3 linked regions of the Caenorhabditis elegans genome follow. The protein of the gene in region 1 interacts with the protein of each later gene in a pairwise test. Each region holds a gene or a part of one and is shown on either strand. Other genes may lie near its edges.

The links.
Region 2: the proteins of sem-4 (region 1) and F27B3.6 interact in a two-hybrid assay, tested with the Caenorhabditis elegans proteins (one large-scale study listed by BioGRID).
Region 3: the proteins of sem-4 (region 1) and rabi-1 interact in a two-hybrid assay, tested with the Caenorhabditis elegans proteins (one large-scale study listed by BioGRID).

Annotation. Positions count from the first base shown.
Region 1 is NC_003279.8:7,032,494-7,044,036, reverse strand, and holds the start of sem-4 (Spalt-like protein sem-4), read right to left. Parts: upstream 5,138-11,543; 5' UTR 5,130-5,137; coding exon 5,054-5,129; intron 3,397-5,053; exon of another isoform or gene 3,326-3,396; intron 353-3,325; coding exon 204-352; intron 1-203. UniProt on the Caenorhabditis elegans protein: Transcription factor, involved in positive and negative modulation of transcription. Binds to multiple DNA sequence motifs in the regulatory elements of target genes, including homeobox selector egl-5 and LIM homeobox mec-3.
Region 2 is NC_003281.10:6,571,066-6,581,871, forward strand, and holds F27B3.6 (uncharacterized protein), read right to left. Parts: upstream 7,541-10,806; 5' UTR 7,520-7,540; coding exon 7,265-7,519; intron 7,179-7,264; coding exon 6,828-7,178; 3' UTR 6,753-6,827; downstream 1-6,752. Other genes in the region: F27B3.8 (Zinc finger protein 263), read left to right, coding at 8,633-8,812.
Region 3 is NC_003280.10:8,576,125-8,587,667, forward strand, and holds rabi-1 (GDP/GTP exchange factor Sec2 N-terminal domain-containing protein), read right to left. Parts: upstream 8,963-11,543; 5' UTR 8,927-8,962; coding exon 8,856-8,926; intron 8,472-8,855; coding exon 8,267-8,471; intron 8,088-8,266; coding exon 7,428-8,087; intron 7,149-7,427; coding exon 6,981-7,148; 3' UTR 6,910-6,980; downstream 1-6,909. Other genes in the region: puf-5 (Pumilio domain-containing protein 5), read left to right, coding at 1-239, 285-530, 578-984, 1,028-1,292; F54C9.9 (Protein KRI1 homolog), read left to right, coding at 1,932-2,015, 2,066-2,117, 2,163-2,445, 3,021-3,107, 3,152-3,415, 3,463-3,577, 3,674-4,015, 4,067-4,280 and 3 more; arl-1 (ADP-ribosylation factor-like protein 1), read left to right, coding at 5,886-5,996, 6,043-6,225, 6,285-6,533.

The sequences.
Region 1 (11,543 bases):
TCTAGAACTGTCACAGTTTTTATTTTTGGTAACCGTAATACACTTGTGGTTTTTGTGGTCCCAATATTTGGGTTCTCGGAATAAAAATTGAAATGAAATGCTTAGAGAATAGTTTGAACAGATTTTAAACCTCTTTTAAACAAAGTTTTGCACCTAACAAGCTAGCCTTTTCAGTTACAAAAACATCTCTCTTAACTGCCTACCTGCTGTGGATTTGCAAATGGCACAGAAAAATGAGGTAAAATATTAGATCGATCCTCCAATGGAAGTGCTCCACCAGCTCCCTTCTCACAGTTATTTTCATCAAAACTCTTTGTCGATAAATCAATTGGAGACATCATCGCATCACCTTCTGTAAATATGTATTGTTATTTTTTAACTTTTTTGTAATTTCTGTTGTTGCAAGTTAAAGATTTAATGGACCCAACTCTCTCTAAGCTCCGCCCACTCTCTCTTCATTTATCTTTAATTTAATGTGTACCAAATCGGTGTCAATGGCGCGGAAAAAACGCAAAAATTATGCACGTCTTCTCCGCCGTCGGCGATCCGATTCATCTCTCTTCACAAGAAACAGAAGGGGTCGTAAAAATCGCAACAAACCGACGCAAACACATACATACACAGTTTGACATCGGTTGCTCGTTAACTTTTTGTCACACAAAAAGTCATCGTCGTCGCGTCAGATCGAAGGAAGCTGTATGGATGAAATAGCGTGTGAATTGAAAGAGATTCTTAACCATTAATGTGTGCGGAGACCCCGTGGAGGGACGGAAGAGGAGGAGGCTTTATGGGTTCGGAACCTGTCTCACCCCTCTCATTGAAATCTTTTTTCGCAACATTTATAATTTCCGAAACGCTTTTTTGTTGTTGAAAATAGAAATCGATTTGATGATCCGGAAGGGTATATTACCGTATTCGAAACGGAGACTTAATGGAACAGATGAACGGAGAGAGAGGAGGAGGCATCCGATTGGATGATGGGTGGAGACTTATGAGAGGGGATATATTATGATTGATTGGTTTGGAAGAAAAATGAATATGTGGAGATATTGGGAAGAGCAACATGATAAGTTCATAAAGTTTTACCAACTAAAATAGAATGGAGTGTAAAAGATTTTTACAGGCTAAATCTAGGTATCATTGTGTTCAAGGGAGACGTTTCAAGAATGTTTTTGAAATGTATACTTGTAGTCGAAAGTTTGAGTCGCTCCGTGTTCACCTATCCTAATTTTTGAAACAAAGTTTGCCTTCGAACAAACTTTATATTTCAGGTTTCTTTTTATTAATCTTGCAAAATTTTGAAAATTCTGAATTATTTTAGTTTTTTTTCATTTCGAGTATATTTCTGCTCAGCTGTCTATTGCCATTTGGACATATGAGCAAACGGCTGAAATGTTGAGCCCTATTATTTCCAACTTCCGAATTTTCAGAATTGAACGTTGGTCAATTTCAGTTTTTTGCACCTCACAGTCCCCCTAACTTCTAGGCAAAAAATAAATCTTACTCCTCCTGTTCCACATTCTTCAGTTATCAATAAAACAGAGAGTATCGTCCCTAAATAGAAAGTCATCTATATACCAATTTAATAGTAAAATAAAACTTCTCCAAAAAGCAACAACCTTCCTTCCAAATGTCATAAAAAATTGTAAAAACGGTAAATGATCAAAAGAAGAAGAAGGCGTCGGAAACACATAAAACTTCATCCCCTTCTCCCAACAACGACGTCTTCGGGTCGCAACAAAACATTAAGAGTTTCAAATTGAACAAAAAAATTGAAAAATAATTGCGAGAATTAGCCAAAATTAGAGAAAAGGAATGAAAATGAGGGGGTGAAAAGGTTAAGTACGCTCTAATAAACATTACGAAAAAGGCAGCAAAAAACGAAGAAGGAGGTGGGTTTAACGGAAAAATTAAGACGATGTCAACGATTGATTATTGACAAAAAGGGCATGATTTGATTAACTTTTCCGCATATTACAACTAATTCGAGTCGATTGGGACACGATGTGTCTACAGAGGAAAGATGGAGGATACTGTAAATATGATAACGGCCGATTGAGAAAGGGGACTATGATTGTACAATTAGAGACATAATTTGAAGTTTTCAAACGAACAAATTAAAACATCGAAGCAAAACGACAACTTCAAGTATTTAGATCAAAAGATCCAAAGTAAATCCTGTTTCTTCAAAAAACACTGGAAGCAACAAATTTTGAACTTTCTAGATATCTTCAATTGTTTTAATATAATTTTGGGTAACCACACAAAATGTCGCTGTACATTAACTGTATAAAGTAAATTTCAATTTGAAAATTTTTAAAGTGAATGATTCATTTCTTTGAGAACTGGAAGACTGCTCAAAATTGGATATTTTTAGGCTTTAATTTTTTTAAATTAAAATTTCCAAAAATATTCCAAAATGTTTGCATACCCCTAGAGACCTTTACAATTATAATTTTTTCCGAATTCAATTTAAGAGCAAAATTACGGTCCTCCAAAGTAGTAGTAAATAGACTCGAAAAATCTGCTCTCAAAAAAATTTCAGCTGAAAGTTAAAACAAAAAATCTCGTCAAACTGCTCGGAAAATCAACGATATTTCTTAACCAACTTTAGCGTTTTTCTAGGTGCCATTTACGGAAGTGGCCGAAGTTGGCGAAATTTGGCTGAGAATTTGGTGACGAGTTGCCTTTTGCAGCTGAAATCTTTCAATTATCAGATAGTACTGGATTCAAAGGAACTACCCAAACTTTCGTTCGAGGCGAGAATTACATGACGCTATCTATTTTCAGTTTTGAACTGTTTGATTGTGCAAATATCGTAATTGAGCCCCTTAAAATAAAGTACTCTGGTAACTGCAACTCATGAGCAAAAACTCAAAAACTCTTCATTTTTATCATCTTATCTGTGTGCGAGTCAGTTGGTTTGATATCATCCATTCAATAATAGTCTCATTCATTCTCTTCTCACGCGCTCATAAAGAGTCCTCCAATGTTAATGAGTGTTATCCAAACGCTCCTCCTCCCCAAATATCTTTTTTTTCAACTCATCTACCTCTGCTACCATCAAAAATCCATAAAATATATGAGATGATGATACTCTGCTGGTCCTCAAATACACACTCTCACACACACATTGTGACACACACACATAATGTTTCAATTTTCGTCTCCATCGTCCAACCAATTCATATTGCTTGTTGAAGGAGGAAGCTCTGATATTGCACACTATTTCTCTCGTATTACACAAAAACACTATAATAAATGATCGAGTTTCGAGGGGAGAAGACCCACAGAAGAAGAATTCTGATTCGCAACAACAACGTCTTCATCCTGCCACTCTAAACTTCTTTTGTGTTCGATCATAAATTCGATTTTATGATGGCTCGACTCGACTCGTGTCGAAGGCGGCGGCTCGCGGACCTCGAACACAATAATGTTGCCACTTGAAGCACAAAAAAGAGAGAATCAATAAGGCTTTCAATAGAAAAAAATAATAATGGGCTCAGCCAATGGAAGAATCAGCAGAGAGATGAGATGACAATAAGTCTCAAGTCTCACACACAAGAGCACTTGTTCGTCACAAAAAATGATTTGTGAAGATGAAGCCGAGAGCTGATGGTGGTGGTTTAGAGACAACTGATACCGGAAATTATGATACAAATGATACACTTCTTTTCTCAAAGATGAATATAAAATTTTTTTGAGCATACGTGCCTGCAAGGCAACCTCGGCCTAATAGTAAGCCTATATATCTTTAAATAAAAAAAGGTTAATCTTAAATTTCAACATGTTTATAGAAAATATACGACTGTAAAATTTGTATGCACATACACAGGCAGAAAGTACCAAGAAATATTCTGCATACAAAGTCATGCTCTAAGAGACTGGGTCTTCACATTCATCGAATTGTCAACAGCTGTTGAAATGTTTGACAGTACTGAATGGAAAATTAAACTTTTATTGTCACAGGTGAAATATTTGTGAAACTCGTTTTGGTTAACATTATCTACTAAAAACTTTCAAAACAAATTTCAGTCTTGCTCTTTGAGCTGGACACCAAGTTCAAATTGTCAAATTGTCATCCCCTTTTCAACATGCTCTCATCCTTTCTCTCTCATGTCTGTCTGTCTCAGAACTTGCCAAATTGATTGGTTTTCTTTTTCTCCGAAACTCTTTCTCCCTTCCCCTTGCACTCCCATATTTGGACATTTTCTCTCTCTCTCTCTCGTTTCTCTGCTTTCTTGCTCTTTTTTCTCTCTCACTTTCTCCTCATAGTCGCTTATGATTGGATGGAAATGTGACGGAGGGGCGGAGCAATATGAAAAGATGAATGGAAATATAATAAGTGTCTCTGGTCTTCGGGAGGAGCTCTTTGGACTACGGTAGGTTTTGATTGGTTATGATTGAAAGAATCGAAGGAAAAGCATTGAAAAAACACTAAAAATGAGGTAAGAAGATACGAAAGAGATAGAGATAAGAGATATGTTATCATATTTGACAAGGTTCTGTGTTGGAAACATTTTAATGAAAAAGTGTTCCTTGAAGTGGAACAGATGTGACAGATTTCTCATTAAAACTTAAAAAAATGAATGAACGAGAAATATATGATAAATTATATTTAAATGAAAATGCCAAACTAGGATGGTTTTGGTAATATTAATTTTTTTTTAATACTGGTTTTCTAGCAAATGTCTCGTCCGAAACTATTCGAAGTAATATGAATAATATTGATAAGTTGATAAGAGGAATTGACATTAAAATTGTAAATTTACACCAATTTATTGTCTCCTTCCAATTTTCATTACTTATGTCCCAAAAACCCATAAAAACTAGTGATAACTGGTTTTTCTAGAAAGTCTAAAAACCTTCAAAAATGTAGAACTAAAATGATTTTGAAACATTCCAAAAGTGCGTTTTAAGTTTTAATATTCAACTTTGTTATTTTCGCAGAAAATTTCAAGATTTCAAGGTCGATCATCATCGCCTTGTTTCATTTTCTTGTCTTTTACTTCATTAAACACCCCGCATTTTCCTCTCATTTCCCTCAACTTACCACCAGACATTCGACGTGGTTTTGACTGTTTTCTGCGGGATGAAACCGCGGCCATCTCGGCGAGCAGCTCATTCATCTGGAGCTCTGAAAAGTTGAAATTACTAGAAGATGAGCATGATAGGCAAAGAATGAAAGAGTAATAGTGGACAAGAAGAGGGAAAAAAGCAGAGAAAAGGATACAAAACAACACACACAGAGAAAAGAGACAGAACAAAAACGATTTATATTAGAAAGATGAGAAGGCGACGGGACAAGGGGGCACATATTGCGAAAACAAGGCTATTATCAAAATTTATATTATTAGAGTAAAATGGTAAAAGTATTGAAGACACGAGATGGCAGTAAGGGAATGGGAATGGAATTCAATTGACGATAAAAAATTGAACTTTAAAATAGAGTCATTAATCATAAATGATATTGCTCGAATGAGCTAGTTATCGAGCGGCGAGCCTATAGTCTAAATTTGCCCATAATGCATTTTTGGAATGAACATTTTTGAATTATGCACCGGCTCGCCATTTGTCTTTGCAAAAGTTACGAAATACTTGGTTATATGACTGGGTTTAGGCCGCACCCAGATTCAGCCCAAAATTGATCTAACTCTTTTCAGCGTCTCAGCCAAGTTTAAAACGATACAATACAAGTTTCACAACAGCTAGATAAAACGTGAGTTTAATTTGGGTACATCATAAACCAGGACTTTCTCAAGTTTGCCCCGAGCTTTGTCAGTTTTTGAAAGAGTAATTTTTGGATCAACCATAGGCAATCAGTTCGCGCCAAATGACGAGTATAGCCGCAGAAGAATCTTGAATCGGATGATTTTTTTCGAGTGTAAATATGAAATTTTGTTGTTCATGGTTGGGTAAAGAAAGAATATCTCAAAAAATGATCAGGGGAAGGTAGTGAGTGATGATGTGAGTAAGTGAGGGTGTAGAAGATGAAAATCGTATAAAATGAGTGAGTGAGCGGTTCCCCTTTTCCATGAGGTGGATACGGTGTTGCAATTGAAATAGTTGGAAAAAAAGGATGGAAAAAAGATCGGATCGGTATGAATATAAAGTGCGAGATGCGGTTGAAGATTCCGTTAAATTTGGTGGGGTCTGAGTTCTGTTTGTGTGTGTTCTACAGGCTTTTCGGATTATGAGTCATCAGATCTTGTAGACTAGAATTATTTTAGGTTGAGTTGTAAAGTTTGATTTCTAAATTTAGATAGGAAATGAGGATCGGACGTTTTCAGATACAAGCCTTAGTGCAAAGCTAACCCAGAAATTTGTTATAGATACATATATCGCTATAAAGTGACAGTGTCCCTTTCTCGCAAATTGTGGCGTCACAATTAGTTTCTAGTACAAATCATTTTTAAAAATCATGCTCGACGCCAGACTACAGAAAAAATGGTTGCTCCGTCTTGCAGATGTTAAGCTTCTGTAAGTGAGCTCTGAAAGGTGTTAGCTGAGATATTAAAAATAACATGGCAGGTTGAAATTGTTTTATGTGAAAATGGAACTACATTATTGAAAGTTCTCAAGAAAGTCTCAACCTCAGAACTTGACTAAAAAAGCAGAAATTTCTAAAAATGGCAAATCAATGAATGAATAACTGAATTACTTGCATGATTTGTTGAATGATTGATAAAACACTAATTGAATTAATGAACACAGTCAACCCCAGAAAAAGTCTTTTTTTTTCTCTCTTCATCAGAAGACGTCGTCGATGATTCGAGACGAATTTGATGATAATTGTCACCCCCGTGGTGGTGGTGGTGAGGGGAGACATATTCGATTCGATTCGCGCCAGGTACTCATTCTTGTACCTGACGCTCCGGGCGCCTGTGTGAGGGACGAGATATGATCTGGTAAAATATGAGTTGTTGCAAAAGAGAGAGAGAAGGCGACCGCCACGGGAGACCGACACGTCTTCTCCCTCATACATGACTCCGCCCATTTTGTTCTTTTTCTTTTTCACTCCGTTTCAGAACTGATAGAGATGCAAGTAGTTTGGGCCCCCGGCAGTTCCGAGACCCAAAAGCCCCGCCCACTTTTAAATTGCCCATTTGAGATAGTGAGAACGAGAAGTGAGAGGGTGCAGAGAGGCAGAGATAAATGAATTACTACTGTGTGGGGCTCTCGATGATGATGAGGAGAAGCCTCCCCGGGCCTCAACCATGGGGCGGCTGTTTGTGTTGCAATTTTATGATTTAGCTAGATTGTGATGGAAGAGGAGCAATGAAAAAGAAAATGTTAGAATAGAGAGAATACAAGTAATCTACTCAAATTGGGAAGTTGATGATAAAACTAGGTTTCCGTGAAGTTAGACAAATAGAAAGGAATCTTTGGGGCCAAACAAATTTACCTTCTGCAAACATCGTACTTCTTTAAGTCATATTAATATTTCACCCCCAACAATTTGTATAAAACCAAAGAATCGTGATATGAGCAAGAAAAACAAATACGGTCTATTAAAAATTAGCAACAAACTTATTTTTTAGAACTTCCTAGAAGTTTCACGGTAAGTTGCGATTGCTGGGCAGGCAAGTAGGTAGGCATTTTTGTGTTAAATTTCATCAGATTCCAATTTCGAAATGTTTTTATTTTGAAAAAATTACTTCAATTAAAAAGAGATGAAATACTTTTAATTTTTTTAACATCTTTGAATTCTAGAACTTGTATGAGATTAATTTTTGATTATGCCTTCCAGAATCAGATGCACAAAATCTAGATATTCCAGTTATAAATGGAGTACTTTTAAATTTATGAGTTATCTAGGGTTACTGTAGAAAGGTGTCTAGGTTACTGTGTGAAAGAAGGATGGTACAAGTTGAATAACTTGATCGAGTCCCAATCCATGTATGACATACACGAGGCACGAGCAAAAAAACGTATGTCGCGGGGTGTCGTCGGTTAGTAAAAAAGAACAAATATAAGAATTTGAGGAGTAGGATTGCGGAACAAGGAGAAGCTTCCTCTCTGGTCTCTATAGAGAGACGGTAGAGAATTAAAGACAACGGTATGTACAGGAGCAAGACGAGACGAGTAATCATCCATTTTCTTCGGGTTTTTCTATTTCTTAGTTGCTCCTCCTTTTCCTCTCATAAATCATCACAATATTGACATTTCGTTTTTTTTTTCTCTTCGCCTTTATTCGACCGCCCGTTTGCTTTTTGCTTTTCGTTTTGCGTAAAGTTGTGTTTTACGGTAACGAACATGATGACAGGATCGAATTGCTTCTTCTTCTTCATCATCAATGTATGCTTTTTTAGTTCCATTCCATTTTCTCCCGACAAAGTGCTTTTGCTCAAGAAAAGTTGGGTAATGGTCAGAGAGCTAAAGGGTAACTGGATTAGGGATCAACAGATGGTTTGGTTCGCAAATAAACGGCGCTTGAGCCTCTCCACCTACAATGACGTGGCATATTCGATTAGATTTTTTGAAAAATTGAGAAACAGTATGACACTATTAATTGTTCTGTGACAGCAATCAAAATGAATTTTAAATTTGACATTTGGAGACAATTATTTTGACAAGAAGCTTCCCTAACTCATTTTCTTTTGAGATAGAAAAAAGATGTCATGTTTCAATTTGTCATCAAATACCTTTTTATCTAGTTTTCCAATAAACCAAGGAATGTAGAAATAAAAAACTTCAATTAGTCATAATGATTTCGAATTTTTGTGATACGGTGAAATGTTGATTTGATGAAATTCAAAGATTTATTGAAAGGCCTAAGTCTACGCCTAACCTTAAGCCTCAGCCTAAGCCTAAGCCTCACCATTCTTGAGTTCTCAAATTTTCAGCCAAAGTTTCTGTAAACTGACCATTAGAGATTTGACCATACAGAGTTGTAAGCCTTGCAATGTTCACGAAAAAGTTAGTTGAAATCAAAAATTAGGATGGTAAGATTTGAAAAATCAAAACATTTGAAAAAGTTTTATCATGCTATTTGGTCATTTTGAAAAGGAGTAAGTTCTTCACCTTTACGGCATCGGAGATTGAAAAACCTTTGGCATCGGCTATTGTTCTCCAACTCAAAACAAAACAAGTTCTATAGATTTTCATATTTTCAATTAGATATCCACTTGAATGATATTCCATATCCTTCCTGTTTTATCATTTCTTCAATTGTTCCCTTCATCATCTGGCACTTCCTGCCCTTCTTCCTTTTCTTCACTAACCCTATAATCTGATGCTCAAGAACAGAGGAACCTAATAGAATTGCGAATCAAAAGGGCATGTTCGACGACAAAATTAACTGACTGACTACAAGAGGGCACGCCAACCTCATATATGTTATGTCAAAAAAATCATTAACAATTCGGGTGTGTGCAATCCAATCTTTTCCGCGACAAGACAAAGAAATGTGTCGGCGTATCTTCGTCTCGTACACTATTTTTCCTCTCACAGTAATCGGCACGTTCATTTTTCCAAGGCGGTGTGGGACACGGGGCGCCATGTCTTTTGTGCACCTCCTGTCGATTTGAAACGATTAAAAATTCGAAAAAGGCGAAACAAACCAACCAAACATACATTTTGCATATATTACTGTAGAAATAAAAAGAGGAATTGTTAGGAGAAGAAGAACGGAGGATGTTGAGGTTGTATGGGGGCACGCGTAATTATGTTGCAAAGCGGGTTTCTATGGTCGTGGAGAAGAAGATTAGAGACCGGCGGCGCCCCAGAATAAGACGGTTCAGACATTTTTGAAGACGTGGGAGACACCACAAGGGTCGATACTTTGTCTTGTCGTTTGCCACCTTTGGAGCGGCAAGTGCATCAACGGTGTGAGGGCACAGGAACCTGTCTATTGCCACGTCATAAATCAAATCGACCACTTCTGAGAAAGCGACACTACTGAAGGTCTGCTAGTACTTGGTGGAAGGAAATGAGAGACAAAGAATGTTAAATTACAAACTTTTTTGCGAAACATTCCCTTTGGGTCATATCATATTAAAATTTCTGCACTGTTAGGAACTAAAATCAAGATCAGGTTTAAAAGTAAACAAGCATAGAAGATCCTGCAAATTATGTTTTACCTTCATAGGTTTGATTTGGAATATTCTATTTTCACTATTGAACCCGTGCTCTAGCTCTATTCCGCCGGTTTATATCTCGGTTGTCTTCAGGTATATCAAAAAATGTTCAACAACAAAAATTCAGGAAGTATTTTATTTCTCAACAGTTTTTAAGAAGTTTAAGAGCAAGGGGACAGTTTATAGAAAATTATAATTATGATGTGTATTACAATTTGTATTATAAAGTACTAAAATAAATTTTATATCGTTGAATGAATGTTGTTTAAAAAGAAACTTTCTCCCACATCCTTAACTAGATACTTACAGTAACCCCCACATTCATTCATGAAATCTAATAAATCCCCTGATGGCCCTCAATTTTGAAAACTTGTAACCAATCTGCTCCGATTCGTTGTCTATTACTTTGGCGGTGTACATAGTAGTAAATCCACTCAATCTATGTATGTCCATACTTTCTCCACACAAATGTGTTTATCCATGTGCCTTTAATATGAGAATCGAGATTTGAATTCCCCAGAGCAAACCCTCGATATATATGGGGCAAATCTTCAATTTCTCTATTCTTTTCTTCTCGTTTTTCGATTTTGCCAAGAAGGGGAACTCTTTCCCCTTTTTTTCAATTTGTTTCTCTATGTCTTTGTGAAAAGAGAGAGAAAGGAAGAGCCGCGCCCATCCATCCGATTATGGTAACTTTATGCCTCGTCGATGCTTTCTTGCTTGCCGCAGTCAATTTGTGCAGATTAGCCACGCCAAGCCAAACATTTGAATAAGCGGAGGGAAGAAGCTTTGAGCTCCACAGATTGTTCCAATAAATACGATGAAAACCGGCAATTTCCATTCACGAAATCCATGAAATATTCTCAATCATTTAGCATAGATCTGAACGTGCCAATTATTGCCTCTGCCGGAAACTCGAATGACTACTGTAGCAGCAGTGGCAGCAATGAGGAGTCGCCAATTCATTTGATATGAATTGCTCCGGCTCATGCTCAGCATCATCTCGAAATTTTGGCGCCTTTCTTCATTTGTGTTTAGTTGAGATGACTTTGCAAATTGGAATTCATAACGGTGTGAGATGAAAAAGGAATTAGTATTCAAAGAAGAAGAAGAAGTTATATGGATGTGTGTATGCTTATATAATAAGGGGTCAGATGGAAATGAAGAAATATTCATTTCATTATTTGGAGCCAAAAGATCGGTGTTATTGGATTAGAAATGTGTGGAAATATGTGAGCAAAAGCAAGAATATGAATAGATGAAATGAAAATGTTGGAATGAAATAAAGATGATGTTTTAGACTGAAAAGAATACAAAATTTGGGTTTTAAGTATTTTACGGAGAGTCTGAAATAATAATTGTAAGAAGTGAGTCTATCTGGCTCAGCTTAGCTTATTTCAGGTTGTTATTTTGGGTTTATCAAAAAATTATCTATTGACAAAATTTGTATTGTTTAATTTTCTA
Region 2 (10,806 bases), on another chromosome or scaffold:
TGGGTTGGGAGTTGGTGAGGGATAATGTCAAGGTACTGTAGTGGTACTGTAGGAGTACTGTAGGTATACGGTAGGGTTGCTGTAGTTTAGGAAAAATTGAGTTTTTGTATACAGAAGAGGTATTGGGTTGGGAGTTGCTGGGGGATAATGTCAAGGTACTGTAGTAGTACTGTAGGAGTACTGTAGGTATACGGTAGGGTTACTGTAGTTTAGGAAAATTGAGTTTTTGTCTACAGAAGAGGTATTGGGTTGGGAGTTGCTGGGGGATAATGTCAAGGTACTGTAGTAGTACTGTAGGAGTACTGTAGGTATACGGTAGGGTTACTGTAGTTTAGGAAAATTGAGTTTTTGTCTACAGAAGAGGTATTGGGTAGAGAGTTGCTGGGGGATAATGTCAAGGTACTGTAGTAGTACTGTAGTAGTATTGTAGGTATACGGTAGGGTTACTGTAGTTTAGGAAAATTGAGTTTTTGTCTACAGAAGAGGTATTGGGTAGAGAGTTGCTGGGGGATAATGCCAAGGTACTGTAGTAGTACTGTAGTAGTATTGTAGGTATACGGTAGGGTTACTGTAGTTTACGAAAAATTGAGTTTTTGTCTACAGAAGAGGTATTGGGTAGAGAGTTGCTGGGGGATAATGTCAAGGTACTGTAGTAGTACTGTAGGTATACGGTAGAGTTTCTGTAGTTTAGGAAACATTGAGTTTTTGTCTACAGAAGAGGTATTGGGTTGGGAGTTGGTGAGGGATAATGTCAAAGTACTGTAGTGGTACTGTAGGAGTACTGTAGGTATACGGTAGGGTTACTGTAGTTTAGGAAAAATTGAGTTTTTCTCTACAGAAGATGTATTGGGTTGGGAGTTGGTGAGGGATAATGTCAAGGTACTGTAGTGGTACTGTAGGAGTACTGTAGGTATACGGTAGGGTTGCTGTAGTTTAGGAAAAATTGAGTTTTTGTATACAGAAGAGGTATTGGGTTGGGAGTTGCTGGGGGATAATGTCAAGGTACTGTAGTAGTACTGTAGGAGTACTGTAGGTATACGGTAGGGTTACTGTAGTTTAGGAAAATTGAGTTTTTGTCTACAGAAGAGGTATTGGGTTGGGAGTTGCTGGGGGATAATGTCAAGGTACTGTAGTAGTACTGTAGGTATACGGTAGAGTTTCTGTAGTTTAGGAAACATTGAGTTTTTGTTTACAGAAGAGGTATTGGGTAGAGAGTTGCTGGGGGATAATGTCAAGGTACTGTAGTAGTACTGTAGGTATACGGTAGAGTTTCTGTAGTTTAGGAAACATTGAGTTTTTGTCTACAGAAGAGGTATTGGGTTGGGAGTTGCTGGGGGATAATGTCAAGGTACTGTAGTAGTATTGTAGGTATACGGTAGGGTTACTGTAGTTTACGAAAAATTGAGTTTTTGTCTACAGAAGAGGTATTGGGTAGAGAGTTGCTGGGGGATAATGTCAAGGTACTGTAGTAGTACTGTAGGTATACGGTAGAGTTTCTGTAGTTTAGGAAACATTGAGTTTTTGTCTACAGAAGAGGTATTGGGTTGGGAGTTGGTGAGGGATAATGTCAAAGTACTGTAGTGGTACTGTAGGAGTACTGTAGGTATACGGTAGAGTTTCTGTAGTTTAGGAAACATTGAGTTTTTGTCTACAGAAGAGGTATTGGGTTGGGAGTTGGTGAGGGATAATGTCAAAGTACTGTAGTGGTACTGTAGGAGTACTGTAGGTATACGGTAGGGTTGCTGTAGTTTAGGAAATTTTGAGTTTTTGTCTACAGAAGAGGTATTGGGTAGAGAGTTGCTGGGGGATAATGTCAAGGTACTGTAGTAGTACTGTAGGTATACGGTAGAGTTTCTGTAGTTTAGGAAACATTGAGTTTTTGTCTACAGAAGAGGTATTGGGTTGGGAGTTGGTGAGGGATAATGTCAAAGTACTGTAGTGGTACTGTAGGAGTACTGTAGGTATACGGTAGAGTTTCTGTAGTTTAGGAAACATTGAGTTTTTGTCTACAGAAGAGGTATTGGGTTGGGAGTTGGTGAGGGATAATGTCAAAGTACTGTAGTGGTACTGTAGGAGTACTGTAGGTATACGGTAGAGTTTCTGTAGTTTAGGAAACATTGAGTTTTTGTCTACAGAAGAGGTATTGGGTTGGGAGTTGCTGGGGGATAATGTCAAGGTACTGTAGTAGTACTGTAGGAGTACTGTAGGTATACGGTAGGGTTTCGGACGAGACCTGGATAAGGAAAGGACAACTAACGGAGTGGAGAAAACAGGGGATCGGAAACGAGTCGCGAGATCAATCAATTTACTATATATAAAGCGCGTGTCCTTCCGTCCGTTTGTAGTTTGTAGTTTGATCTTTGATCTTTCAACTCTCTTTTCTGTAGTTGGAAGAGGTATTGGGTAGAGAGTTGCTGGGGGATAATGTCAAGGTACTGTAGTAGTACTGTAGGAGTACTGTAGGTATACGGTAGGGTTACTGTAGTTTAGGAAAATTGAGTTTTTGTCTACAGAAGAGGTATTGGGTTGGGAGTTGCTGGGGGATAATGTCAAGGTACTGTAGTAGTACTGTAGGAGTACTGTAGGTATACGGTAGGGTTTCGGACGAGACCTGGATAAGGAAAGGACAACTAACGGAGTGGAGAAAACAGGGGATCGGAAACGAGTCGCGAGATCAATCAATTTACTATATATAAAGCGCGTGTCCTTCCGTCCGTTTGTAGTTTGTAGTTTGATCTTTGATCTTTCAACTCTCTTTTCTGTAGTTGGAAGAGGTATTGGGTAGAGAGTTGCTGGGGGATAATGTCAAGGTACTGTAGTAGTACTGTAGGAGTACTGTAGGTATACGGTAGGGTTACTGTAGTTTAGGAAAAATTGAGTTTTTCTCTACAGAAGATGTATTGGGTTGGGAGTTGGTGAGGGATAATGTCAAGGTACTGTAGTGGTACTGTAGGAGTACTGTAGGTATACGGTAGGGTTTCGGACGAGACCTGGATAAGGAAAGGACAACTAACGGAGTGGAGAAAACAGGGGATCGGAAACGAGTCGCGAGATCAATCAATTTACTATATATAAAGCGCGTGTCCTTCCGTCCGTTTGTAGTTTGTAGTTTGATCTTTGATCTTTCAACTCTCTTTTCTGTAGTTGGAAGAGGTATTGGGTAGAGAGTTGCTGGGGGATAATGTCAAGGTACTGTAGTAGTACTGTAGGAGTACTGTAGGTATACGGTAGGGTTACTGTAGTTTAGGAAAAATTGAGTTTTTCTCTACAGAAGATGTATTGGGTTGGGAGTTGGTGAGGGATAATGTCAAGGTACTGTAGTGGTACTGTAGGAGTACTGTAGGTATACGGTAGGGTTACTGTAGTTTAGGAAATTTTGAGTTTAAAACATTTTGAAGAGGTGTTGGCTCGGGAGTTGATAGGGAATAGTGTCAAGGTACTGTAGTGGTACTGTTGGGGTGCTGTAGGATTATTGTAGGATTATTGGAGTTTGGTGGAAAATTGCGTTTTAAGTTTTTGAAAATGTATTGGCTTGGGAATTGGTGAGGATAATGTCAAGATATTTTGATAGTTTCTTGCTTAGAGTCGGGAACATTTGGGAAGATGTGAAAGTTTCATTATTTTTTCATAAGCCATTTTTGAATGATTGTGTCAAACATTTCAAATGTTGCCAGTCGTTGGCCGCGCCGTAGGCGCGGTCAGCGGCTGGTGACTTCATAACAGACTACAGGTAGTTCATTTTCGGGGTCGTTTTGAATGGGAAACTGCCATAATCCCCAAACTACAAACTATCCTAATTATAATAAAGTGTTTTCAGATCCGGTTCACCATTTTCAGGTATTCAGGAGCCACAACGGAGAGGAAGTGTAAGATGCGGCCCAGGGCTCGTGTCAGGGATTTAGGAAAATCGTAGATACTTCGTATTTGGGTGGAACGCGAGAGCAGAAGAATTTTCGAGGAGCAGGGTTCAGAGGCGACGATTCTCGTTTTGGGCAGCAGACGAGCTTCAAGTATCAGAACTACGGGAGCTGCCAGGATTATCGAATCACGTGGGTTTACCATTTTACCTTTTTTCTCCACCTTAACCAATAATAAGTACTTTCGGTCCGTCCTTTTTCGTTTTTGCAGCACGTACTTCAGCACAGTCGGCTCCATCAACAACACCAGCAGCTCCTGCACAGTCAACGTCATGTCAACAACACCGAACGATCGGGCCCTTCGCAACGACATCAGCACATTAAATTTCCCCAATGTTCACCGTTCGTGGCCCTCGTATCGTTCAAGTTGGGCGCCTGGCGCCCAACTGTCCCTAATTTCTCACTATTGTCACGACCTGTACCACACGCAAAGCCCATAAATTCTGTAACTCAATTCTCTCTTTTTCTCATACCTCAAGTTATACAACGTTGCACGTACGATTCAGTTCACGTGAAATGTCCGTAATATGTTTTTTCTTGTTGTTTTTTGTTCATTGAATTGGTCCATCAAATCCTAACAAGTAAGAAACAAATTGAAGAATCATTAAAATTGATTGAACAAAATTTTGAAAACACCAAAAAAAAAATTAACTTTAGATTACGATAGCATTTTTCCAGCTACTACTGTATATTTAAAACCTACACTACTCAATTATTTTTTGTGGCTTTGTTTAGATATTACTTATTTCAGAAATATAGGCTTTTAAAAAATGGAACAATGAAAAAAGAAAGCACGATATTGAGTAAATATCAGGTTGTCCCATAAGTTTTTGTTCTTTTTTTCAAATATTTTTCCAAAACTTCTACAAAGTTTTAAAATTTTTTCATCGTAGGTCGTGTCAAGGTCGGGTCGTCCCCTTTCAGAAAAGATTCATTTCATCCATTTCTACTTTGCCACGATGACAATCATCAAACTTGAACGTCGAGACGTTAGATTGCTTCTTCTTTATGAATTTCGTCTTGGTCATTCAGCAATGGAAGCGGAACGAAACATATGCGGTGCGATGGGTGAGGGAGCACTCTCTTATAATACAGCAAAGAGTTGGTTTCAAAAGTTCAAGAACGGCGACTTCAGTCTCGAAGAAATAGAACGTTCTGGGCGACCGGTAGAGTTAAATGAAGAAGACCTAGTGAAGCTGGTGGAGGAAGAGCCTCGTCTTAGTCTTCGTGAAATGGAAGAGAAGCTTGAGTGTTGTCATAGCACAATTGCACGTCACTTGGGTCGCCTTGGTTTTACTTCAAAACTTGGAATTTGGGTGCCTCATGAACTTTCGGCATCACAGAAGCTCACTCGGGTCAACGTTTGTACTCAACTTCTAACTTTTCGTCGAAAGTTCGATTGGCTGAACAATCTGGTTACTGGAGATGAGAAGTGGGTGCTCTATGTTAACCATTCCAGAAAACGTCAATGGCTTCCGATCGGTGAGAAAGGAATACCGACGCCAAAGCCTGATCTTCACCCAAAAAAGATTATGATCTGTGTCTGGTGGGGTGTTCAAGGACCCGTGCACTGGGAATTGTTGCCAACTAATAAAACTATCACTGCTGATTACTATTGTGCCCAATTGGACCGAGTTGCAGAAAAGACCAACGGAAAATATGAAAAACTATATTTTCTTCACGATAATGCTAGGCCTCATGTCGCCAAGAAGACTTTCCAAAAGCTGCAAGATCTTGGTTGGACTGTTTTACCGCATCCACCATATTCTCCAGATCTTGCACCAACCGACTACCATTTGTTCTTGTCTCTCAGTGACTACATGCGCGACAAGCAATTCGACGACGAAGAGCATCTCAAAACTGAACTCTCCACTTTCTTCTCATCGCGTTCGCCGGATTTCTTCTCCCGTGGCATCATGATGTTACCTAGTAAATGGCAACAAGTGGTGGACACTAATGGTGAATACTTGTGTGAATAGTACTACTTGTCGCTTGAGAGAAATAAATTTTTTTCAAAAAAAAAATAGTACAAAAACTTATGGGACAACCTGATACTTTTTACAGTGTATTTATTTATTTGCAAAATTCTAGGACTTGTATGCTGATGGATCACACCGCGGGTAAGAAATTTGTTGAAACTATTTTTTCAGTATTTGTTTGTAATTTTGTGTTTAGAAAATTTGGCAAAATGAGAAAAACAAATTTGCAGGAATTTCTTACAGTAATGTCAAAGGCGCATACAAAAAAAATTGTTTTGATAATTATTCTTAGCGGCGGGATCTTTCTTTGAAGACTTTTTCAACAAAAGTAAATGCTTAAAAACGGTTTTTTTTTTGAAAAATTGAGGGTATTTAAATTTTAAATGTTAGTTGAAAATAATATTTGAAAATTACAGACAGGAATCGAAAATTCATATTCCAAATGAAAAATTTCAAAAAACAAAAAGAAAGAAAGAAAATCAACGTTCCATCTAAGCCTCCACACTCAAAACACAAACATACTATCTTACAACAGCTGCGTCTCTCGAGGGTTATTTCATGAGAGATATGTAGACGGAGACGCTCTCCTGTTGATCAATTGCGCGCAAAAACATGCTATTCTAAATATGTACAACAACAGGAAAACAACAAGCATTAAAATCGCAAATTTTTAAAAATACGCTATCTAGATATATTATATAGAATATTCTTCTTCTTTTTTTAGTAAATGCTGTGAATGCTATATGTAAGTGGCCTGTTCAGAAGGAAGATTACGAAAAAATTGAACAAGCTTGTTCTTATGATTTTTTCAATCTAACTTCAATGCTCAATTTCAATCCAACAATTACACATTGAACAATTTTAAATAACCATTTATCAAAACTTGAGAAGCAAAATAAAAATAAAACAGATCTATAGAATTCTGAAAAGTTCAAAATGGAGCAATTCTTCTGATCGATTGAGATGTTTGTTTGCTCTTATTAACTCTTGCTCTGTTTTCCTTATTAGCCATGCAGTTAATTTCATTCAAATTGTCCATTGTGGTATCTTTAATATCAGAAGTGTCGATTTTGAAGAACTCAGTGGTTGGCTCCGGAGTCTCATGGCCGCAGCGGTAGGCATCAATCACCGTTAGTGCACGGGTGAACTCGTGAGATTCTTGAATATCTTCTGGAAGATCCTTGTATCCGCATTCATCCAGTTGTTGTTGAGCTCTCATGAAATCGTTTTTTGTTGGTGTCATCATTAACATCTGGATTTCTTCCATTTCACCGTCCTCAAGCTGAAAGAAATAAAAACTCAAAATATGACTTCTCCCAATTTAACTATTAGCTACAGAGAAATTTTAAAATATAATTTTTAACTTACAGATTCTGGATCCTCTTTTTGAAACTTGTCCTCAAAATCCTTCTCCTCTAGTGTAACTTGGAGCCTTCTGATAAGCAAGCCGCCAATGCTCTTTAGAACTTTGGACAGAATCAGGTCCTTCAAATTGTATCTTTCGAAATACTTGAATGGAATTTCCATCTCTAAGAGCCCTTCAACAGCTTTGAAAACTTCCATAGGATCTTCAGTACGAATCATATTAGCAAATCCTTTGATGTTCTTGGACATCGTAAACATGATGATTTGGTTAACCTGAAATAATTGAAGTTTTCAAAATCAGAAACAGTTTTAGAGCGTTTTGCTAAGAAAAAAATATATATATATAATTTTGTATTTTCTGTAAAATAAGTGCTTTCATCATTATTTTAACATTCAATCGTTAAGTTACATATTTTGGAGAACTGGGAGGTTTTGCACTGGACAAATAAGAGTGAAATTTCAGAAGAAAACTAGGCCAGTTCTGTACAGCGTCGCTCTAGCCGGTCACAAGATGATAGGCTGATTTTCTTCAAAAAAGGAAAAACTGAATAAAAACATAAAAAGGAAAAACAATGAAACAGTAAAGAGATTAATTGACTAGATGAATGAATATGCTAGGCTCTATCTGTGCATGCCTTTGCTCCGCCCATCAACTGACGTGGATGACCTATTTGGAAGATGTCCAATACCTCCACTTCCTGCAATGTACCAAGTTCTCTGGTGGTTGTAAAACAAGAAGAGGTGGCCTTCTTCAATAAACACACAATAATTGTGTCGTGTGGATTGCTGTAACAACAGTTTTCCAAACGGTACCATTGTTTATGGAGATATTCGATCATTGAAAGAAAATATCTAATTATCTAAAGTAAATTGGAAAGGCAATGCGAAATTGTTTATTGAGAGTAGCAAACAGTCTGATTATTCCAGATAACAACTATTGTGCATTTTAATTCAATGGAGGATACTCTGTGAGGTTTAGAGATCTCTTGCTGCATATGGGATCCTCGCTCTTCACAAGATCTTTGGAAGCACACTGAAATAATTTCGTAGCATTGAATTGATGCCAAAAACTTACATTAAAATTAATTTTCATTTCCATCTAAAACGACGGTTGTAAATCAAGCAGTACTTAATAATGAAACAATTACCATCCAAATGCTCAAAAATATTTTTTTAATACTGAAAAATTATCTTCAAACTCTAATCCAGAAGCACTGCTTCAAACCACGTAGCTCCTCAAAGCCTCCCTGACGAATTGGAATATTCAGACTGTGTGTGGTCTGTATTCAAAATATGAATTAAGACGACACGTTAAAATGTAGAATTTGTAAAACAACCATGTGAACCAATAACTCCACCACCATGTAAGCCATGCAGCAGGGTACTTTGGAGCTCCAGGAGCACAGGGAAAAGCTGGTACTGCTCACTGAAGACCCATGGCAAGACGGAGCACCAGGACAACCAGGCGGTGATGAACAATCCGAGGCATTCCCTGAAGCACCAAGTGAATCTGGACCTCCAAAATCGCCAAGCCCATCTGAATCTTCATAAGCCGAAGGAAATTTTTTCAATGGTATTATAGAACTCGCATAAAATTTTATAAAAGTAACATTTTGGTCTGCTTTTCTCAGAAATACAAGTAATTTTTTATCCAATTAAAATTCTCCAAAAATCCAAATTCCAAAAGAAGCCAAAATGAAAAATCTTGTCAGAATAAGTGAAAATTCTCAATTTCTTGAAAGCCTATTTTTGGATGCACTTTTTGGATGCAATCAAATGTTTTCTTCTTCATTTATTTTCTCGCATTCTCATAATTAGAATTCATATACTAAAGAATTAAAAATGAGGAACGGAAACGAAAACGGAAATCCTCGTCCAATAAGGAACTTTTTTATTGCTATCAATGTAACGAGAAAACAAAACGAACGAGATTGACAGAAGAGGGAGAAGAAGGCTCAACAAGATACACGCCCACAAGACGAGGAGGAAGTTTCGGATTTCCGAGGTTCACATTTTTACTTGTTTAGACTTTAATGTACGACCATGAAATGGTAGGGAATCTCTCACAGGGCCATTGTCGATTTACGGAGCTTATGTACACCTCAAAAAAAGTTGCTTCGAAGAAAGGATTTTACAGTTGTTTGTTTGCATTTTGAGCCAATTTTGCCAATTCTTTTGTATTATACAAATTCTATAAAGTATTTCTCTCTTTTCAGTTCTCGTTCTCGTTTCCAATATTTTAATTCAATCTAATTGAGGTTTGTATGTTTTATAGAGATCAAATTCAGTTAAAGATTCGGAACTTTGCGAATACAAAATCCAGAAAGGTGCCGCCCAATTATTTGCCTATTTTCAGTTTATCGGAGAGCTGTTCAGGAATTCACATTACACTTTATGTTTGGTACTTCTTATTTTCTTGTTATTTTTTATTCTCACTTACTATGTTTGTCTGATGAGACTAATTATTGAATATTTTTGTCATCTTTTCTTCTTTTCAAACTTTTCTTGCGAATGTCCCCTCTCCGTATCCACGGTTCCACCAAACAAAAATAATCAAATGAGAATGTCTATAAAGTAGCAAGAATATCCCAATTTTTTATTGGCCACATCTTGCAACTCTACCAACTTCAAGTGCATCTTCATTTTCTCTTTTTTATTCTGAAGCCAGTCATAGACAGCTTCAACGAAAGGTCTGCGCATCTTCATAGATATTTGATCTCTCGCTGTTTTGGGCATGGACCTTCTAACGAAAAGTTATTGCCACGTCACGGATGGATGGTTGTGGGTTGTTCAGGGGAAACTTTTATTTCAGATAGACCTTGTATTCAATAAAAGTCGCGTGACGTCTTTTTTCAATGAAATATTAATTTGGATTTGTCAGAAATCGAGCTACTCCTAAAATTATGTTACATGAGAAAATTACTCATTGGGAGCAGGAATTATTCCGCAATCCTACAATATTACCTATTGCGATATCACTTATTACTCTATTATTTTTTGTTGAAATGAATGTCAAAATATAAAAACACATTCGCCTAATTTGAAAATATTTCCAATTGTGGTTAGAAATCTTGAATAAAATCATAAAAACAGTAGAAAATGGCAATGGTCTTCAGGTTAAACAATGCTTCCTACATTTTGAGACCGAGTTGATTTGAAAGCGTATCAAAAGAAACTTTGAACCGTTCGAACATTTCTAATTCTATGTCTAAATCGTCTGACAATAACTTTCAACACAATAATCAAAAATTCAGAGTGTCTTCAATTGAAAATCTGTTCACCTTTTCGTCCCTTCATGTGTGCCCACTTAGCATAATCCCATCCTCCTTTTTTCTTATTCTTCGAATCCTTGTTTATTCAATTCTTATCCTCCTTCTCCTCCGCCTCCAGCTTCTTTTTTCTCCTGCACCACCTCTTCTTCTGTCAGTTTTTCTTCTTTTCTCACTTTTCTGCTTTTTCCCTCCAGATGGCTCCGTGTTCTACCAGTTTCTTTGTCTGAAATTTCCATTTTTCTTCCTTCTCCCCGTTGTTGTTCTTTTTCGGCC
Region 3 (11,543 bases), on another chromosome or scaffold:
ATTTCCCAGAAGATCATGATAACGAGATGCACTTTGTGCTCTTTGACAAACTTACTGAGCAGGGTGCTGTCTTCACCAGTCTTTGCCGCAGTGCTGCCGGAAATTTCATCATCCAGAAGTTTGTTGAACATGCAACCCTTGACGAACAGGAACGCCTCGTCCGCAAGATGTGTGACAACGGATTGATCGAAATGTGCCTCGACAAGTTTGCTTGCCGTGTGGTGCAGATGTCGATCCAGGTATAACCTAGTAAACTTATGATTTCTAGAATTTACTTGTTTCAGAAATTCGATGTCTCGATCGCGATGAAGCTCGTCGAAAAGATCAGCAGTCTTGATTTTCTGCCACTTTGCACCGATCAATGCGCCATCCACGTTCTGCAGAAAGTTGTCAAACTGTTACCAATTAGTGCGTGGAGTTTCTTCGTCAAATTTCTGTGTCGCGATGACAACCTGATGACTGTTTGCCAAGACAAGTATGGTTGCCGTCTCGTTCAGCAAACCATCGACAAGCTGTCTGATAATCCGAAGGTATTACTATTTCTTGGAAATCGATGGGCTAATGTTAAAATTTCCAGCTCCATTGCTTCAACACACGTCTTCAGCTCCTGCATGGACTCATGACATCAGTGGCACGCAACTGCTTCCGACTTTCATCGAACGAGTTCGCTAACTACGTCGTTCAATACGTCATCAAGTCCTCTGGAGTCATGGAAATGTACCGTGATACAATCATCGAAAAATGTCTTCTCCGTAACATTCTATCGATGTCGCAAGACAAGTATGCTTCCCATGTTGTGGAAGGAGCTTTTCTCTTTGCTCCACCTCTCTTGCTCTCAGAGATGATGGACGAAATCTTCGATGGATATGTGAAGGATCAGGAGACGAACCGTGATGCTCTGGACATCTTGTTGTTCCATCAATACGGGAACTATGTCGTCCAACAGATGATTTCCATCTGCATTTCTGCACTTCTCGGAAAAGAGTAAGTGCAACCAATCCAAATCAGTTCAACAAAACTATTTTAGGGAACGTAAGATGGTGGCATCGGAAATGCGCCTCTATGCCAAATGGTTCGATCGGATCAAGAATCGTGTCAACCGTCATTCCGGCCGCCTTGAGCGTTTTTCCTCTGGAAAGAAAATAATCGAGTCGCTCCAGAAGCTCAATGTGCCAATGACGATGACGAATGAGCCAATGCCATACTGGGCTATGCCAACTCCACTCATGGACATCAGTGCCCATTTCATGAACAAACTGAACTTCCAGAAGAATTCCGTCTTCGACGAATAATGTAATTTTGTGTATGTACCCCTTACTGCCACAATACCCCAGATTTTGAACATATTTTATCGCACCCCCATACTCGCCCATTGTACTATTAATTGTTTTTTAATTGATACCTACTCGCCTCTTTTGTAAGTCGCTAGATTGTGCCTCTACTAGAAACGCCATCTAGTGATAATAACCGACGCTTCGCTTCTTGTTGCATATGTAGTTGACCCCATCGCGTACTTTTGTACATTTTGTGCTTATATAACTTTTGTAACATAATGGAAGTAATTTTTAAAGGTTGCTATGGTGTCGTAATAAAGACAATTGTAGCTTGAATCGTGTTTCTATACTTTTTATTATAAAATCAGTATTTATAAATCAGTTGACTGTCATTGGTCATAAATATATCTTATAAGAAGGAGATAATTCATTTTTATTTGATCGAAGTTCTTCAAAACTTGCGTTTTTTTTTCCACGAAAATTAATGCAAACGCGCTCGGTTGAACTCGTGTTGTCACATCTCTTTTTCTTCGATTTTTTGCCAATTTTGAGAATTTGTTCTTTTTATTATATTAGTAAGCTTAATGTTTTATTTTCCTGATGAAAATTTGAATTTTTAAATATTCATCAAACAAGCTTTATTATTTAAGAAACAAAATGAACAAGAAGAAGAAGGTTTCTCTTTTTGGAGAAGATGACGCAGAAGAGCAGCAAAATGGAGCTGGTTGGGAGATTAATAAGGTACATATTTATTGTTGTGTTTTAAATACATAAAATTATATTTTTCTCAGGGTTATGCTCAAAAATACGACAATTGGAGGCGATTGGAGGAAATGCAGAAAAGTAATTTATCTACTCTGCTTCGTTTATTGACAATTTTGTTTTCAGTTAAGGACAAATATGGAGATATTGATGATGACGATTCGTCAAGTGAATCAGAACCGGAATGGACCGAAGGCCATGAAGAAGCTTTCCTTAAAACACTTGGAGCTCTCAAGTCCGGAGATAGTTCATGTTTTGAAAACGGAAAAGGCTTTTTCAAAGACGTTCAGGATGCTCCATCGAAACCAAATAATAACCCCAAAAAATCTAAATCAGAGAAATCAAAGAAGAAAGACGAAAAAATGACAATCAAGGATTATGAACGAAAATTGGTTCTGGAAAAGGGAGGGTTAGTCAATTAATATTTAATAACTTGCAAAAAAACTGAAACAAAAAATTTTCGCAACATTTTTTGGTTTAAAACTGTATAATTTCTACGAAAGTTCAAATTATCTACTTGTTAATTCAATGCTACTGGAAGACTAGATTTATTGTGAGTCGAGGTTCACAAATATTTCTCTAAAACGAGAATAGTTTCTAAAAACTGCTTCCACGTTTCAATCAGTAAATTGAGATAATATCTGATATATGAGCACATTTTGTTGACCTAAGCTTGTACATACAAATTTCCCATTGAATAATCCACGCAACAAAGACAAGCAGGGGGCATCTTTTTCCATGCGCTCTCATCGAAATACATACTATTTAAGTATGGTGCCCCCTGCTGTCCAGTCCATTTGCATGTGTCCATCGGGAGATGGAATCCGATAACATCTCCTTTCTCATAGTGGAAGCTCTTCTTTTCATTTTTCCCCTGGTAGTTTTGGCTTCATTAGTTAGTAAAACTATTTCAGTGAGTTCATTGAACGCGCTGTAAATGCTGAACGAAACCTTTTTGAAACCTGAATATGGACAATTTTGCAGACAAATCGACGAAAGTGATGAAGAAGCCGAGTACAACAAGACTCAGCAGAGGGGATACTATGAGGAGCAAGAGGAAATCAGAAAAAGGTAATTTTCATAAATCAAATAATTTAAAGCGGATAATATTTCAGCCTCTCCGCCGCAATTAACGCTGACGATGGTGCCGACGATGATCTTCTGACAGAACGAAAGAAAACAAGTAAAGAGCAAGAAGACGAGGATGAAGATTTTTATCAATGGATGAAGTCGGAAGATGGAAAAGCTGATAAAAAGAAGGCAAAAGAGTTGAAACATCTGAAAAAATTTTGGAAAGATGATAAGAATATGGATGAATCCGATAAATTTCTCAGAGACTATTTGCTGAATAAAGACTACGAGCCCGGAGAGAATGAAGAGTTAGTTGTTTCCTGAATACGTAAAAATTAATTTTTAAATTTTCTAGAAATCCAACATATGAGGATATCGTAGCTCTCGAAGAGGATGAAAAAGACCTTGACAGCAATAGAAAATATGAGCATAAATTCAACTTTAGATTCGAGGATCCAGATCAGGAATTTGTAAGTATTGTTGTCAATATTTCCGAAAAAAGATTTTTAATTTCTATGAGAAAAATAATGACGATTCTCTTTACACCGTAAAAGATTAAAATTAAGATCAAACAATATCCTCGTACAGTTGCTGAATCAATGAGATCCGAAGATTCTTCTCGTAAAGACAAACGACACGAACGGGAAGAACGTAAAAAGCGTGAAAAGGCAGAGAAGAAAAAAGAATTGGCAGAGCTGAAAAAAATGAAACGATCTGAAATTGAGCAGAAACTTGGAAAACTACAGAAAGCTGCTGGAATCCATATCCCATTAACTCTTGATGAGCTGAACGCTGACTTTGATCCTAAGGAATTTGATAAAAAGATGCAGTCAATTTTCAATGATGAGTACTATGGAGTTGAGGAGAATATTCAAGAGAATGAGGACGAAAAGCCGATTTTCAGTGATGTAAGTTAACTGTTTTTTGTCTCCTACCGTATCCAACTCTCTCATTTCCAGATGGAAGACAGTGATTATGAGGATTATGACAATTTAGATGTAGACGAGTTGAAAAGAGAAGAACAAGAAGCTGACGATGACGACGAAGAAGATGAGGAAAGTGTTGATGATGAAGATGAGCAAGAAGTGCCAAAATCGAAAAAATCTGCAATGAAAAATGGAAAGTTCGATATGGTGGCTGCCGCACAAAAAGCAATGTCAAAGGATAAAAATGGTAATATTGTAATTTCAAGATATTTTTTGTCTTATCATCTGTTCTTCCTTTCCAGATAGTCGTCGGAAATCGAAAAGGAACGCTTTGAAAGATGCTCTTGCAAGGAAGAAACCTCTGTTCAATCCGAAGGAAAAGACGTTTGAGGAATATTTCAATGAATACTATGCTTTGGATTATGAAGATATTATTGGTGATACACCAACAAGATTCAAGTATCGAGATGTCGAGTCAAACGACTTTGGATTGAGCACTGATGAAATTCTGGAAGCTGATGAACGTCAACTGAACGCGTGGGCATCATTGAAAAAAGTTACCGCTTATCGTACATCACAGGAAGAGTTTTTCGACCGGAAAGCGTATCAAAGAAAGGCTGAAGATGTTAACAAAAAGAAACGAATTCTTTCAATCGATTTTGGAGGGAAAAAATCACTGAAAAGAAAAATGGAAGACGAACAAATGGAGAAGGAGATGGCCGAGATGAATGATCAAAATGATAACACCGAAGAAGATGCTGAAAAGAAGAAAAAGAAGAAGAAGAGAGGAAAGAAGAAGGTTAAACTTACTGAGGTTTGTATTAAACTTTGAGTAACTAGTTCTAAAATATTCATCTGACTTTCAGACTGAAAATCCCGAAGAAAATATGACGGAAGCCATTGAAAATGAAGTCGAAGAAGTTGACAAGCAAGAGCAATTACCTGTGCCGCAACCTGAAGAACCCGAAGCTGCTCACGAAGCTCCAAAAGAAGAAAAGAAGAAGACAAGAAAGAGGAATAAGAATAAGGTGGGAAATTCAATAATTTGAAACTTTTGTAAAATTGAAAAAAAAACATGAAAAAAGTTTTAAAAAAATTAAAAAACTATTCAAAACTCGAAATTTTTCAGAACAACGTAATCGCTGAAAAGTTCGGACAAGGAATGACGGATTCTCGCGTGAAAGCTTATGGATTGAACCCAAGTCGTCTCAAGAAGGGACTCGTTTATGGACAATAATCATCCGGTTGTTTTTTTCCTAATTGTTTTGTTTTATTAGTTCATTCTAATTGTTATTTTTGTGTTTTGTTACTGTTATTTTTTTTATTATTATGAGGAAAATGAAGTGTTTTTTTTGCATTTTGATTAAGTTTTTTTTTTCCTTTAAAGGTTAATTTTACCTTTATATTATCTTTATTATTAAAATTTTTCGCAACTCACCTACTTCCTCATTCTCCCACACTTTCAAATCCTAACCTTCTTTCTTCATTTCACAGACTGACATATTTAGTGCTCGCTTCTCTCCAAAAACATAGTCAGTGAGCATTTTTGAGAGAGTTCTTCGACCCTTGCTAGGTCCATCCTTCCTGGCTCCTTTTGCACCAATCTCTTCCGTCTCTTTTGTCTTTGAAAAGTACGGAATGGTGCTTTCCAGTGTAAAATGAGAGGATTTTGGTGTTATTTTAATTTATTTCGCTAATATTTAAGACTATTTATAAGAAAAAATTAAGAATTTATTTTCTAGCCTTCTACGTTTTTTGCTCGTAAATCCACGTTTACTTGTATTCCTATTTTTCAAAACGTTTCAAAATATTTCCGATTTCAATTTAAATATCTGTGTTCAGATCAGAAGCAATGGGAGGAGTAATGTCATATTTTCGTGGCCTCTTTGGCGCCCGCGAAATGCGTATTCTCATCTTGGGACTTGATGGAGCCGGTAAAACGACAATTTTGTATAGGCTGCAGGTTTTTATTTCTGGCTGAAAACAAAACCATATAAGCTAAGTTTCAGGTCGGTGAAGTTGTGACCACGATTCCAACAATTGGTTTTAACGTGGAACAAGTCGAGTACAAAAATTTGAAATTCCAAGTCTGGGATCTTGGAGGACAAACATCGATACGGCCTTATTGGAGATGCTATTATGCGAATACTGATGCAATCATTTATGTTGTGGATTCTGCTGATAGAGATCGAGTAAGTTTGAAATTTTATTTTATTTTTTGTAGTAAGGATTTTAATATCAACTGTTTTAGGTTGGAATCTCTCGTCAAGAACTTGCAACAATGCTACAAGAGGATGAACTTCAAGGAGCTGTTTTAGCAGTTTTAGCCAATAAACAAGATATTGCTGGATGTTTGACTGAAACTGAAGTGTACAAAGCATTGGGATTGGATGCTCTTCGTAATCGTACCATTCAAATTTTCAAGACATCTGCTTCAAAAGGAGAAGGGCTCGACCCAGCGATGGATTGGCTGGCGAATCAATTGCAACAGAAAAAGTGATCAAATTCACGTGAATTCGAAGATTTATCATCCAAAATGAGCCCAGAACAAATTGTCTAAAATCTTAATTTTCTAGAATTGTAGATGATTTCTGGGCACTCGTAATACATTTTAATTCTCCATATTTTGTTTAGCTGCAAACACGAGGTGTGTCTTTCTCTCTATAATTCTGTGATTTTTCTTCCTTTTCTTCTATCCTGTTCTGTTCTTTCTTTCCTTCCTTTTTTGTCTTCAAAAATCTCGTTTTATTTAATTTCTATCCGCTTAATGATTGGTTGTTCTATTGCCTTATCCCAATGTTCTTGAGATGATCCGTTTTATAGTTGTTTTTTTGTAAAATGTAAAAACGAATAATTTATACCACCAAAAAATTTGTAATTGAATTATTTATTTGTATAAAAAGTGTGAAAGACCTGTAGTTTCAAATTATGGTAAAATACTATTAATTCAATGATGGCGTATGTTGGAACGCGGGACAAATCCTAGCCCCAGTTTGGCAAGTGACATGTTTTTCCGCAAGTTTACAACGTGAAAATATGAATCTCGAGGCCCGGGTTTGATCAAACCTTGGGACAAGTATCGGATACACGTGAAGAAGTCACAGACTGCGGCAATCTGTAAATCTTGAGTTAATTGAGAAATCAAGATTACGGTACCAGGTCTCGGCACGACTGAAAGTTTTGAAATTCAGGTTGCGAAAAAAAGTGTGCCTTTAACGAGTAAGGTAGTTTCTATTACGTTTTCTAAGTAAAGGGTTTCGAAAGAAAATAACGAATAGAATGGCAAAACTGTGAGAAGTGAAAACTACCGTACTCTTTAAAGGCGCGCACCTTTTTGGCAGTCTCAATTAAAATTATCAATCGTTCCGAGACCAAGAAAAGTGGAATAACTCACCCTATTCCTGGCAATTAACGAAACATAATGCCATTCTTGTTCCTCATCACCAGTTCTTACTCGATACGGACAAAACCTTGAAGCATTTGTTAATGCACAAATCCTTACAGATGGTTTCAGTTCATTTAATGGTTCAAGTTGAACACGATTCTCTCGAATTGCCTTCATTATTTCTTCTGATAACTCAGAGTTTTCGAATAGCATACATGGTTCAACTTCTTCAACGGTAACTCTATCAATAAATGGATGAGATGTCGTCGGATGTCCAGCTTCTCTCCAAAATTCAAATTCAGAAAAAAGAATTGGATCGATCTCTTCAACTGCATTTGCTTCTTTTTGTTCTCTATCTTCTGATGGTGTTAGTGTATATGTTGATGTAGATGGAAGTGATGAAGCTTTCTTTTTATCTGATACATTTGCAGCGTCTTTTTGTTTTTTTGATGATGAACTTGATCCATTGAATAGTTTTGATAAAGTTGATTTATGTTCTGGAGATGTTGTCTGCTTGAAATGGTTTTGACCCATTCCTGGAGCAGATATCAATTCTTTCAATGCACGTACTTCTGCTTGAAGAACTTCAACTTCAAGTCTTGATTCGGTTAGTAGTTTTTCTGCTTTCTCACGACGAGCTTCTGCTGTGTTTACCATTTTGTACGCCTCCTGTAAACTTGAAGATGTGATGGGAGTTTTGAGACTTTTTCATCGGTTTTCAATATCATTCTTATCTTTTTTACTTGGTCAACTTTCTAAAAATTTAAATTATCTTATGAAATTTTGAAAATCAAAATCGAGAATTTTTATAAGCTAATTTCTCAGGATCGGAGTTGTACTGGTCTTACCTGAAATAATTTTTCAGTAAGTTCTTGAACTTCTGCATCCACTGTCACTTGAATTTGTGTCATCTTTTTATCTTTTTCAGCAAGCGCCGTTCGTGTTGCTCTGAGCTCAGCCTGCATTCTCAAAAGCTCCTCAGCCCTAGGACTCATTAGCTCAGAGTCGGATGATGTCGAGGCAGATGATGATGTTGTGCTTCTGGCGGAGATTCTGAAAATTTAAGTTTGAAAGAGTTACTCGAATAATGTTTAGGGATGACAGCATTGTTGAGTTAGATTTGTATTGTTTTTGTAGGCAATTCAGTTGCCAGAGTCTAGAGATATCAAACATGGGTAAAAGTGAAAATGGTAGTGTTCCACAAAGAAAGGCAAGGCATTAACAATGAAAAGTTCGGCACTTCGTTCCGCAGATTCACGAAAATTACTCTTTAAGGAACCTATGAAACCGGAGAAGAAGAAGCACAGTTACATGTGGACTACTGTGGTCATAAAATACTATATAATGAATTATATTTCATTAAAAGAAATTACATAAAAGTGTATAATAAGAATCATTTACAAATTGTCAGTAAATTAATTAATATAAACATCTTACCTCACATTATCCTGGGGATCGACTGACAAATCGAGATGAATTGGGTTCAGAACAGAAATTGTATCAACCATTTTTGCATAATTTGTATTGCTTTGATAGTTTTAATTCTGAAATTAAAGTAAAGTATTAATGTATGTCAATGATAGAAAAGAGAAGATGTCTGTAGATGAAAAAGAAACGGAGATGTATGTTTTTTTCATTGATAACGTAATACAGATAGATTGAAGACAGGAAGAACGGGTTTTGGTGATGTAACGAAGGGGAATGAAAGTAAAAAAGGGAGGCGGGAAAGACTGGAAGAATAAGGTTCCTTTATAATCCCGAATGGATTATAAAGAAGACAAGATGTTGAGAAGAAGCATTGCGAAATGATTCTGAAATATCAGGGAATTCATGAAAAAAACTGGGAAAAAAGTCAGATGATTCAGAGAAAAAACACGACGAAGATGAGGATTGAACTTTGGGAAAGATAGAAAACAGGAAAAGAGAGAGAGAGAGAGAAGAGATGACACATGTGCTCACAGACAAAGATTCTTCTATGACCAGAGAGTAACAACAATAACACATAAACACAGAGATTGATTGGAGAGAAATTTTGAAGGGCAATTGAAGTTGCAAGATGTTCCTCAGAGCTTTAAAACGAATGGGGCATCGGATCATAATAATTTGATAATTTTAGATCTCGGCTAGAGACTCGAGCAGAATAATTTCATGCTATTCATTATTTGTTTTCGGAACCTTCATTTCTAAAACAGCTACAGTAAAGCTTATTCTAGTTAGGTATGTAACAAAAACATCTAGAGCATATCACATTTTGCAAGATGAATAAAAACCTGCAGCCTATACAAAATTGTCGTTTTATCGGCTCCGTTTTGAAAGCTCATGACATTGGTTTTTTGCTAGCAATCTGAACTCCATTTTAATTGACACCTGGATGCTTAACTTTTATATAGTAACCTTGAGAACCGTCAAAAAGTGGCGATTATTCAGTTTTCTGGAAGTCGAGGACAAAACCATAAACGATGATTTCCAATTTTCCAAAATCGAAAAACTAGATATAGAACATCAGTAAGCAATACACTGCCCTAAAAGTTCCAAGTTATCTCGATTAGAAAACATGAAAAGTGAACAAAAGGCTTGTCCTTCTACGCTTTTTTTACATGAAAAAAGTGCAAAACGTCCTTGGTTTTTCATCAAAAGGTTAGTTATACGACCACTAATTTCAAATAACCCTGTCCCAAAGAAGGAATGGAAAAAAAAGAAAAAGAAGTAAAATGAAGAGAAGAAAAAAGTTAGCTATTCATGAAGAAGCAGTTAGCGAATAGGAAAGAAAGGAGCCACCACACGGAAAAAAGAAGAAATTGAAATTTCGTGAGAAAAGTGTAATCAAAGAAGTAGAAGAAGTAGAAGAAGTTAGAAAAAAAACGAAACAAAAATAGAAGACTACAAATTTTTTGGAAAAAAAAACAAAAGAAGAATCGAAGTCACCTCGTAAAAAAATGTAGATCTCGTAAGAGCTGTCCGAAAGTACCACAAGATAATACTCCGAAGCTGAAAAAATGGTTACAGACAACGTTTTAAAATGTTTGACATTGTAGATATGTGAAAAGTACAAAATTGGCTTCAGTATAGACTTTTTGTTGACTTTGTGGAGCCAATGGAGCACGGGTTACATCGAATCATACTTGTCCAATCAAAAATTGGAACCTATTCCCATCAACTTTTCTTCCAAAAAGGAGACGAGTACAGCAAAACAGAACAACACGCAGTGTTTATTTTGCGGTTTCGGTTTTCTTCCATTTCTCCGTCTAGATCTCTCAACACTATGTGTGTCTGTATTGTATTGGTAGGTATTGCAAAGAGGAATCCGATCAAAAGGGAACGGCGGCCAGATTTTACGGGCAAAAAAGGTACTCAAAAGGGCTTATACAGTCACTCTTTAGAAAAAATAAATGGCGTCAGATATGGAATGTGGATAGTGTTGAAGTTAGAGCCATGTATCTAAATGAGAAACTAATCGAAGGTTTTCTACAAGGGAAAAAGTATAATTAAGAGTTAGAGAAGTTTTTCAAGAACAAGTTTCAACATTTCACACAGCGTTGGTTTTCGTACCAAAAGCTGACATGGTTAGTGATTTTCTGCGTTTTTTATGGTTTTGTACAACCTAAAACCGTCTTAAAGCTTAACACATGTTCTGTCGTATGCAAAGAATGGTGAATGAAAATAAATCGAAGAACATGTTTTAGGATGTGGTTGGGTTAGCAATAAGGTCATTCGAATTTACCGAAACTTGTGAATATACTTAACAAGGATCTTCGTTTTGACAGTACTATTTAGAAGTTTATAAACTTAATGTTTTTAAAACTTGATTTTAAAGAAAACTTTGAATAATTTTACAAAAAAGTAACCTATGCAACAGTAGAAAATATCCCAACAACATATAAAATTAGCCAAAATCAATCGAGATTTCTGTTTCTTTTGGTTCAATTAACTTTCCACAGCCTCACCACACTAAATTCAAATAATTAGTTAATTTATAGAATCAGGAAACTACCGAAAATGGCCTATATCAATCAAGAAAGAAACTAAAAAATGATTCAGTCCTCTCGGGCCTTCAAAATATTAGAACTTTATTTGGTTTCAAACTGCACAACACAGTGATCATTTTTTTAACATTCAGCCAGTAAG